2 linked regions of the Drosophila melanogaster genome follow. The protein of the gene in region 1 purifies or fractionates together with the protein of each later gene. This does not show direct contact. Each region holds a gene or a part of one and is shown on either strand. Other genes may lie near its edges.

Evidence for each region.
Region 2: the proteins of Pi3K68D (region 1) and mtm purify together in Drosophila melanogaster (affinity purification with western blotting, with the first as the bait; one study listed by BioGRID). This does not show direct contact.

What each region holds. Positions count from the first base shown.
Region 1 is NT_037436.4:11,786,742-11,791,709, reverse strand, and holds the start of Pi3K68D (phosphatidylinositol 3-kinase 68D), read left to right. Parts: upstream 1-1,696; 5' UTR 1,697-1,788; exon of another isoform or gene 1,789-2,089; 5' UTR 2,090-2,169; intron 2,170-3,464; 5' UTR 3,465-3,497; coding exon 3,498-4,531; intron 4,532-4,599; coding exon 4,600-4,652; intron 4,653-4,968. Other genes in the region: twy (twitchy), read left to right, coding at 1-1,432.
Region 2 is NT_033779.5:6,034,038-6,039,121, reverse strand, and holds mtm (myotubularin), read left to right. Parts: upstream 1-2,106; 5' UTR 2,107-2,310; coding exon 2,311-3,844; intron 3,845-3,899; coding exon 3,900-4,225; 3' UTR 4,226-4,391; downstream 4,392-5,084. Other genes in the region: CG31643 (uncharacterized protein), read right to left, coding at 1-919; CG9117 (uncharacterized protein), read left to right, coding at 1,307-1,993; CG9109 (uncharacterized protein), read left to right, coding at 4,799-5,084.

The sequences.
Region 1 (4,968 bases):
GCACTTGTCCGTCGTAGAGAAACGACTCAAGGACGAGAATAGCGAGTTACGGCAGTACTACATCGAAAAACTGGAGAAGCAGAAGGAGGACTATGTGGAGCAGATTTCCAGCCTGCGACAAGATCATGAGGATGAGGTGCGCAAGCTGCGTCAATCCCACGAGCTGGACCTCGAGGGTATTCGTCAGGCTAAAATGGTGGAGTTGTCGGCGGTGCAGGATCATGGAAATTATCTGGACACATTGCGTCTGGCGTCCAGCAATCTTCAAGAACTTCGTGACGGGATGAGTGACAACCAGGAAAGGGAACGGCAGTTGGAGGCGCGAGAACGTCGCCTGGCCGACCAGGAAAGGCGTCTAAAGATGGACGAGGAGACGGCCGACGATGAGAAGCGCCGCCTGATGGAACTGGTGAGCACCTTGGAGCTGCAGCTGGGCCGTTTGTCCAAGGAGTCAGCCGAAGAGAACTGGCAGCTCCGTCAACGAATGTCCAGCTTGGAAGCGGAGCGCAAGGCTTTCGAGCGCGAAAAAGAATTCCATCGCGAGCAAATGCAGCGGGACGAGAAGCGTGTGGAGGATCTTAAAGCACTGCAGCTTGCGGAAATGGAACGACTGCACCACGATCTCCAGGAGGAGCGCAATCAACTGACAGTGGAACGCCAGCAGATTGAACTAAGACAACAGCTCAATGAGCACGGCGACCCAGACAGAGATCGCCGGGAACTGGAGGCCCAACTGCAGGTGGCACGCGAAGCCATTCGGCGGGCGGATGAGGAGCGGGATCGCTACCACAAGCTGCAGCGCGAAATGGAGCAGCGCAAGCGCCATCTTCTGGATAAGGAGCACGCCCTAAATCTCAAGGAGGACGAACTGGGCCAAGCCACCGGCGCCTACCGCCTAGCCACTAGTCGCCAACACTTGGCCGAGCAGAAGGCTAGGGAGGCGGACCAGCTGCTCCAGGCCAAGCTTAAGGTCATGGCCAAGCGGGCCCAGGAAATCGCGGAAAAGGAGGCACAGCTGGCCCACGAACGAATGCTGGTGGCGCAGGATCGTATGGCTTTGGTCAATCTGAAGAAGCAGATTTCTCGCAGCAGGTGTGCAATCTGCAAAATGGGTGCGGAATCGGCGGAAATCGCCCAGCGAAGGGCAAATGTAAATCCCACAGCAGCCACCGATCTTCAACTGCCTCAAGTGACACCCAGTCATGCGGAGCTGCTGCTTAAAATGTCCCAGGAACCGGGACAGGTCCAGAGTGACATTGTGGATCGAATGCTGGACGAAAACATCGAAGCCTCCTACCGCAGGATGTACAATGCGCCCCCCAGTAGTTCAATCGATGATCCCGACTATCTATTGACGTTAGCTGGTGGGCTGGACGACGACTCCAAGGTGGCCATGGATCACGGCCTGAATGTGGACGAAGCATTTATGTAGATATTGTGGAAAAATTTGTGGAAGCACAAATAATAACAACTGAGATAAATAAATGTATTACTTGGCAATTAGTATAAGTTTTATAAACAAACTATGAAGATACAAGATTACATATCGCTCGAAAGTTAAGTATTTTGTTATTCGTTAGAAACTCAATAAATTTGAATTGATGGAGTGAAACCCGGCTACATGATTAGCCAATACTCAAACATCTGTTCGATGTATCTTTCATCGATAGTTGCCAAACAATATCGATTCGTTTACCATCGCTACTGCTTGTTGCATTCCGTTTTGTGTTATTTCGTGCTGTTCGTGTTTAAAGTTCTTGCGCACAAGATAATTGTTTTTTTTTTATTGTAAATTAACTGATTTGTACATAATATGTGATGGTGCAAGAAAATCTAAGAAAATAACGTTTTGTTCAGTATTTTGGTGTTGCGTCTATTCCGTTTTTTGTCACTGTTTTCTGTTCGTGTTTGTGTATGGTCGTTTCGCATGTATGTGTGTAGGTGTTTAGGTGTGTAGGAGGATAAAACAACTCTCCTAAAAACAAAAAAAAAACCTTTGGTTAAGTTTAAATTAATTGTGATTCGTCAAATATAACAACAACCGAGGATAAAAGTGTAAAACTATTAACCGGATGGTCTATGTTCGTAGCCCCGTCAAGGGAAAACCTCAACCAAAAAGAGACTAGCAACGGGTGTAAAAAGCAGCGGAGGTGACACCTCAAAAAGCAAGTAAGTTGGCAATATGCGGATGAGAATCACAAAGCAGAAGTCAAGTCTGCATATTAATGACTATCTCCATTATTATTTTCTTTCGCCCTTCCACCGATATTCGTTTTTTTTAAATTTTATTCTTACGTTCTCCGGAATAAATTGGCATTCAATTGGGTTCATTTATTGTTTATGAATATTGTTTTTAAAAATTTTTTCGCAATCTATTGATTTACCTTAACCTTTGCCGCACGGAACCCTCTCTTTTGCTCTCTCTTCCTCGCTTCCTATTCCTAGCCGGTTCGCATTTTCTTATCTTCCATTCCGTCCCCGTTCGCGACACGGACTCACACACACACTAGTGCTTTTGTGGGTGTGTTTATATTAAACAGCTGTTTCCTATCTGCATACGAGATTGGCTTCAATGGGGAAAAAATCAAAACGCTTACATGCTGACATATATATATACGTTTATATTGCATATATTCGTATATATGTGTAAAATCTGGGAAATCAGTACTCGCAGCATTCATTCACGCAAATTGATGCCGCCGCTTTTGTTTGTTTTTATATATTTATTTACAATCGCGCACTCAATTGCGCCTTTTTGCGCCACTCTGCTGTATCGCAATCGCAAATTTGGAGCGCTTGGATATGGTTTCTATGTGCAAAGTACACAAGTATTTACCACATTTGTATGTACAAACAATAAGATAAAATGTTTTGCTGATGTTTGTACCGAATGTCGAAACTCTGCTAATCATACTTAATATCATGCTTGCATAATGATGTTCGAACTTTTCTATTAGAAGTTGATATTTTTTAAAATATAAAATTAATTCCTGTCCCTGCCCTGGCTATCACAAATCCTTGTAATTACGTTTTAAATGCAGTTGTCATATCCTTTTAACCATTTCGAAGCTTACAAATCTAATAAAGCGATCAATCTGTTCTCCCCTATTTTCTGAATTTCTGAATCATTGGTGCCCGCTAATGACGGCTCATTATCGATCGCGAATATTCCTTTGCAACTTAAAAAAAAAAAACTAGTGATAGGCACCCCCACTCTGTCGCAAGTGGTCTTCCCCCCATCGAATGCTATCTCACCTGTTCTTCGTCCAGGTACTCATATAGTACCATTGCCATTTACACTGCATAATCACTTTTATCACCGCCTGTTCGTTATCGCAGAGATAAGCAATCCCAAAAGCAAACACCTTTGTTCAACAACAAATAGGCATTGGAAGAGAAAATACGAAAATAATTTTAACAAAATTTGGAAATCGCTCACATTTTGTTCTGGTTCCCATTCGCAGCTCAACGGACCGGACGCTTTAGACGAGGGGATAATGTCAAATCAAGCGCATATCGACTACGACAAACAATTCCAGGATGACCTGGCCAAGGCGACCGCCCTGAGTCTAGAGCAGCATGCCCTCGATGACTACAGGCGAAACAAGAAGTACGGCTCCGGGTATCAGCAAAGCTCCACCGTTGCTGGCCGAGATTACCAGGCGGCGCAACGTAGTCAGAGCCTACATCAACCACGACGGCACTCGGAGGTGCATCAGGTGGCCATCAGTCCGGAGAATGCGGAACGATCGCGCACACCGCCGGCCCAGGGAACGGATAACGATCTGATCTGCTTCGCAAGTCCCACCAGCAAGCAGCCAGAGAGTAGCAGTCCCTTTGGCAAACTTATAGAGGATCTGCAGCGGATGCAGCCGACCAATCCGCAGTCGGCCCTGGTGCCAATGGGTCCAGTTGCGTCGGCTTCGATTCCTCCTCAATACGGCTTTCCACCTCATCAGCAACGTCCAACGGCTGCTCAGCCCACACCGTACGGCATGGTTGCAGGTGGAGTTGTTGGTGGACCGGCTTACGGTGACCTGCAGTTGGTGCCTTACCAACCAGCTGCTCAGCAACAGAGGCCACTAAACAGCGAGGAGCTGCAGCGGCTGTACAGCATGCCCGCTCAAATGGCCGTGGTTCCAGTGCCGCAGCCAAACGCCTATATGTACTATCCCGGAGCTGTGGTTACTCCATACACGGCTCCCATTGTTCCCGGATCGGCTGCTTTTATGCCGCCGCAGTATCCCGCACAGGGATATGGCTTTGGAGGTGCTTACACGCACATGGATTTGCGTCGACCCCAATCGCAACCAGCTCCCCAACAAACAGCACCGACAACAAGTCATCATCACAGCCAACCGTCCAACCATTCCACTTCCTCCCCCGCAGAGGCCAATGGAGTAGCCTTCCCAGCGCGTCGCCAAGTGCCCTCGACTGTCGGGGTTAGCTCTAGTAGCCACACTGGAAACAATGGTCATTCCTCGGTCCCACGCAGGGGCAACGATTTGATCGACCTCAACCACGAGGACTAGTATGTATCCACTAGTGTTCAGAAATGATTAGTTCGTGTTTTTAACATTCAAACATCCTGCTTTGCAGCTCCCGTGTGAGTGTGCTGGAGGCATTCGATCCCCTGCTAAACGACAATACTGGTAAGCAGCCTCAATGTTGTAATTAACGTGTAGCTCCCGGTCCTCGTTGAAATCCCCCCACATTTTTCGCACCGTAAACTAAACTTGAAATACAGTCGAAAACTCGTGTGTTGCGATTTTTGGCCAGAGCATTCATTTGAGCTGCAAATAAAAATTATTGGCATAATAACATTAGTGGATTTTTCAACTCAATCTCTAGGAGAGAGGAATATTAAATTGAATAGGAACAAGCACACGATTTTGTATTTGTATGGTATTTACTAATAGGTTTTATTAATTTTATATTTATCCCATTATTTGTTTAGCAACAATTAGT
Region 2 (5,084 bases), on another chromosome or scaffold:
GTATGCAAGGTCGCAAGACCAGCATGACCTCCCGAATCAATTGGGTGTGGGTCTGCGACCACACTGGAATATTCAGCATGTGGATCACCTTCAGAAGAGCCTTAGGGGTTTCGCTGCTGAGGACGCCGCTTTGCATCATTTCAGTCAAGCGCAACTTGAAGCGCGTAAACAGCTCCTCATCAATGAGAAAGTGTAGCTGAAAGAGGCACGTGGACAGAAGGCGAACCTGCTCTGCGCTGCGACACCAATTGATGTGATGTTCCAGGTGCGGAATAAAGTTCCTACACACAAGCGGAGTGAAGAAGTCGCGTTCCAAGTTGATGCCCACCGAGAGGCGAGACAAGGAGGTCAAGGGAATGACTTCGTCATCAACTTGTGACTCGATTAATTGAAGAGATCTCGTCAGCACGGCCTCCACGACTGCCTCGGAGTTTGGTATATGCATTTTGCGCAGGTACAGGTAGCATCTACTGAGATCATCGATCTCCAGTTGGTGTACATAAGGGGCCAACTTTGGGAGCACGTTAAGCAGCACGCGATCCGTGATGGCATCTTTACTTGCCTGCTCCGCGTCGTGATAGATGTTCCACAGCAGTGAGATTCCCATCACCACATGGGAGCTCTGCAGGCCGTCACAGCTCTCCAACACATCTAAAATCTGGTTACCCGTCTTGGCCTCCTCCAGTCGGGTTAGAAGAGCATCCTGTTCCCGTGGCACGCCAAACTTGTCTTGGAGATCTCCGTTCACCAGCTGCGAGTGCTTCCTCAGTTTTTGGCCCAATGCCGGCAGCAAGGCAGCTGTTTGGATGGGCGGCTTTGCGCCAATGTTAACGTGCCGTCGCAGGAGCTGAAGCTGACGCACTCGCAGAAGGTATTGTAGGTACTTCCATTGTGTCCGCGGCAGGTGGTTCAGATACATGCCACTTTATCTCACGCTTATTCAGAAATCGTTGAATAATAACAAAATTACGCCGTATAAACATGTGAGTGAATTTTTGGCGATCAGCTGGTGTCGGTGTTGCCATGAAATCCTAATTTCCATTATACTGAAACCAATAATGGAATCAATGTGTAAAAAAAAACTTAAAATAATTTCTGAACTGTGATTAGCGGTATACAAGTTAGATAAGTAATTACTTAATTCGTAAGTAATTTGTTTATTTCGTCAAAAGTTTCATAGTGGCAACTCTAGTTTTCAACAGGTTGTTGACGAGTTGACATTTCTGTTTGTAAGCAACAGCTGATAAGCAGCTGACCCTAAATAATTTAATAGGCTAGAGCGTTATCGTTGTTAAACAACTAAACAATGGCATACACTGATCCTGCGCAACGAAACCAGGTGACCGTGCTCCAGGTCGGCTATTCTCGCCAAGAAGAAGGAGACGAGTCCGCCATGCGGGCTAACTGCACATGCACACTGGTCCGCTGCCGGGATGGCACCAACATAATCGTGGACACACTGACGGCCTGGGATGGAGATCACCTGCGTTCGTTGTTGGGCCAGCAGGGACTAGGCGTCGATGACATCCACGTGGTGGTCTGCTCTCACGGACACTCTGACCACATCGGTTGCAACTATCTGTTTCAGAAGGCACGAATGCATTTGGTCGGCGCATGTGCCTCACATCACGACCTCTACATGGACCACCTTGGTAGTGGTAATCCAGACGAGCAACTGGCCCTAGATTCGAATGCCGAGGTGGTAGTGAGGCGGTCGCCAGGACACACCCTCAGCTGCGTTTCAGTTCTTGTGGAAAATTCCCAGCTGGGTGGACGGGTCGGTATCACCGGAGATCTCTTCGAGCGTCGCGAGGACATCGACGATGAGAACATTTGGATGGACGCTGGAAGCGAAAACGAGAAGGTGCAGCGCGAGGAGCGCAGTAAAATGGCACAACTGTGCGAGTTTATAATCCCAGGACATGGTCCGATGTTTTCTGTCACACAATCAATGCGCTGTAAACTTAAAGAAGACGCCACTTCTAACACTTAATTTATTAAGCATTAAATACATATGTTAGAGATTTTTTTAAAAGCGGAATTGTTCTAGCTTTCCTTGATTACCAGTTAAATGTCTGAAATAAGTTGATTAATTCCAATACATAAAAATCAAATTTTCCGCCACTACATAATGTCCCTTTGGTACTTTTGTCGGAGGAATGGGAAATTATTCCAGATGATTTTATATTGCGTGAGTTGGCAGCACTGCTGCATGAGTTTTGGTGAATTGCATTTAGCTAACAATTGGAAAAGAAAACACAGCTGCAACCAGCAACACAATAGCCAAACACCACTCGTGTCCATCCGAAAATGGATCCCTCCGCGAGCCTGGCCGACAAGTTGGCCTCCAAGACTGCCAGCAGCAACTCTCTGGACAGCAGCTCCAAGTCCAGTTCGCTGGGCTCCAAGCACGGTGGCGGAGAAAACGGCATTCTGCGGGACACGCCCTTCGGCTATCTGGAGGGCGAAGAGGACCAGGACCAGAAGAACGACGTGACCTACGTGTGTCCGTACCGCGGCCCCGTCTTCGGCGCTCTTACCATAACCAACTACCGTCTGTACTTCCGGTCGCTTCCCCTGCGGGATCAGGAGCCGCCCGTCGTCGTCGACGTGCCTCTGGGCGTGATCGCGCGTGTGGAGAAGATTGGAGGTGCCACGTCTCGCGGTGAGAACTCGTACGGCATCGAGATTTTCTGCAAGGACATGCGAAACCTGCGATTCGCCCACAAGCAGCAGAATCATTCGCGGAGGACGGTGTTTGAGAAACTGCAGGCCAACGCCTTTCCGCTCTCGTACAGTGGGCGCCTCTTTGCATTCGCCCACGCCGCGGCCAACTCTGTGAACGGTAACGGAGGCTGGGACGGCTGGGCGGTATATGAACCGCTGGCGGAGCTGCGCCGCTTGGGCGTTCCCAACGATATGTGGCGGGCGACCAAGCTAAACGAGTCCTACGCAATTTGCGACAGCTATCCGGCCGTGTGGGCTGTGCCCAAAGCGGCCTCCGATGATTTCCTGAGGCGCGTGGCACAGTTCCGATCGCGCTGCCGCCTGCCGGTTTTGTCCTGGATGAACCCACGGACTCAAGCGACCATTACAAGGTGTTCCCAGCCGCTGGTGGGTGTAAGTGGCAAGCGAAATTCCGACGATGAAGCATACCTAAGCTTTATCATGGAGGCGAACGCCCAGTCAGACAAGTTGACCATCATGGATGCGCGACCAAGCGCCAATGCGATTGCTAACAAGGCCAAGGGCGGCGGCTACGAGTCAGAGGACGCGTACAAGAACGTGGAAATCAACTTCCTCGACATACACAACATCCACGTGATGCGGGAGAGCCTACGCAAAGTGAAGGAGGCTTGCTTCCCCACCACCGACGACTCAAAGTGGCAGACGGCTATTGACAACACACTGTGGCTAAAGCACATTAGGTGCATCCTGGCCGGCGCCGTTAGGATTGTTGACAAGGTGGAGACCATGAGCACCTCCGTCGTAGTTCACTGCTCCGACGGCTGGGATCGCACAGCCCAGCTGACTGCTCTTTCCATGTTGCTGCTCGATCCGCACTATCGCACAGTGCGCGGTTTCGAGGTTCTCATTGAGAAGGAGTGGCTCTCCTTTGGCCACAAGTTCCAACAACGCATTGGTCACGGCGACAACAAGCACTCGGATGCAGACAGATCTCCGGTGTTCCTGCAATTTATCGATAGCGTCTGGCAGGTTAGCCAGCAGTTCAACAACGCATTTGAGTTCAACGAGCACTTCCTGATAACCATCGTGGATCATCTGTACTCGTGCCGCTTCGGCACCTTCCTCTGCAACACGGAGGCCGAGCGTGTGGCCGAAGGTTAGACTGATTGCTGTTTGCATGGGCTTGGAAGTAATTTTCACATTTATTGTAGATCTCAAGCACAAGACAACATCCCTGTGGACGCACATCAACTCGTCGCTGGACCAGTATTTGAATCCACTCTTTCCCTCGTTCACGCACGGCGCCGAGCTAGTGCTGCGTCCGATTGCCAGCGTGAGATCGGTCCGCTTGTGGAAGGGCCTATACTGTCGCTGGAATCCTGGTCTGTGCGCTCCTCAGCATGGCTGCCAGCGAACCCGCGAACTGCTATCCAAGCAGGACCAGCTCTTTAAGCTCGTCAACGAGCTGCGGCTCAAGTCGAACAACCGCAGCAACAGCATGCAGACAACTACGCGACTGGCCTCGCCTATGCACTAATAGTATTGCTTTTTTATTCCCCCTACTTGTACGCATATGTAGTGCACGTATTGTGAACTACGTTCTAATTCCAAATAAAAGTTTTTCTTAAATGGAAAACTAGTCGATTCAACATTGTATCATTGAACCACATTATCGAATCTAATTAAAGTGTTAAATGTCTGAGAATGTTTTAATTATTTCATGAATAACATCATATAGTTCAAATCGTATAGCGTTTTCGCAGCTCAGTGGAGCTACTTTTATATGTGCCTTAAACTAGTTTGGATGTCAAAAAGATACCTAAACAGGTGACCAACTGTTGCACGCTCCTTGTGATTCATTCATAAACACCGCTTCATAGAGGCGCCTGCGCGTTGGACTACGCACGTTAAATCCCGAATCCCACTTTTGACACCACAGGACACAAAACATTTCGGCTTTGCGCCAAAATTAAATCACAGCTGCCTCAGTACGACATCGCACGTTCATTGGGACAGACGTGTTCCGATTTCCGGTAGGAAAAGGGCAGGTGTTTGTAAAATATCAGGAAATGCGTTCGGAACTCTTAGAGTTCCGCAATAGATATTAGTTATGCCTACTAGGATATGTGTGCTGTTTGGGCTTCTGTGCCTCGCAAGCTTATGCTGCGGTAGTAACAAGCCAGGAGAGGTGCTCCTGGTTATCGCCTGTCCCCCGCATCCTCAGCAGGCCAGAAGTGATTGTTTAGCCTTATCGCACAACGTGCTGGAGCAGCAACGGGCACTGGAACTGGCGGGGATCTTCCCCGAGGACTTTGTCCTGAAGGTCCATGTGATGCATGAGCTCTTTAACTCCTGGACCATGCTGGACGCACTGCCTCATCTAAGAGCCCAGGCAC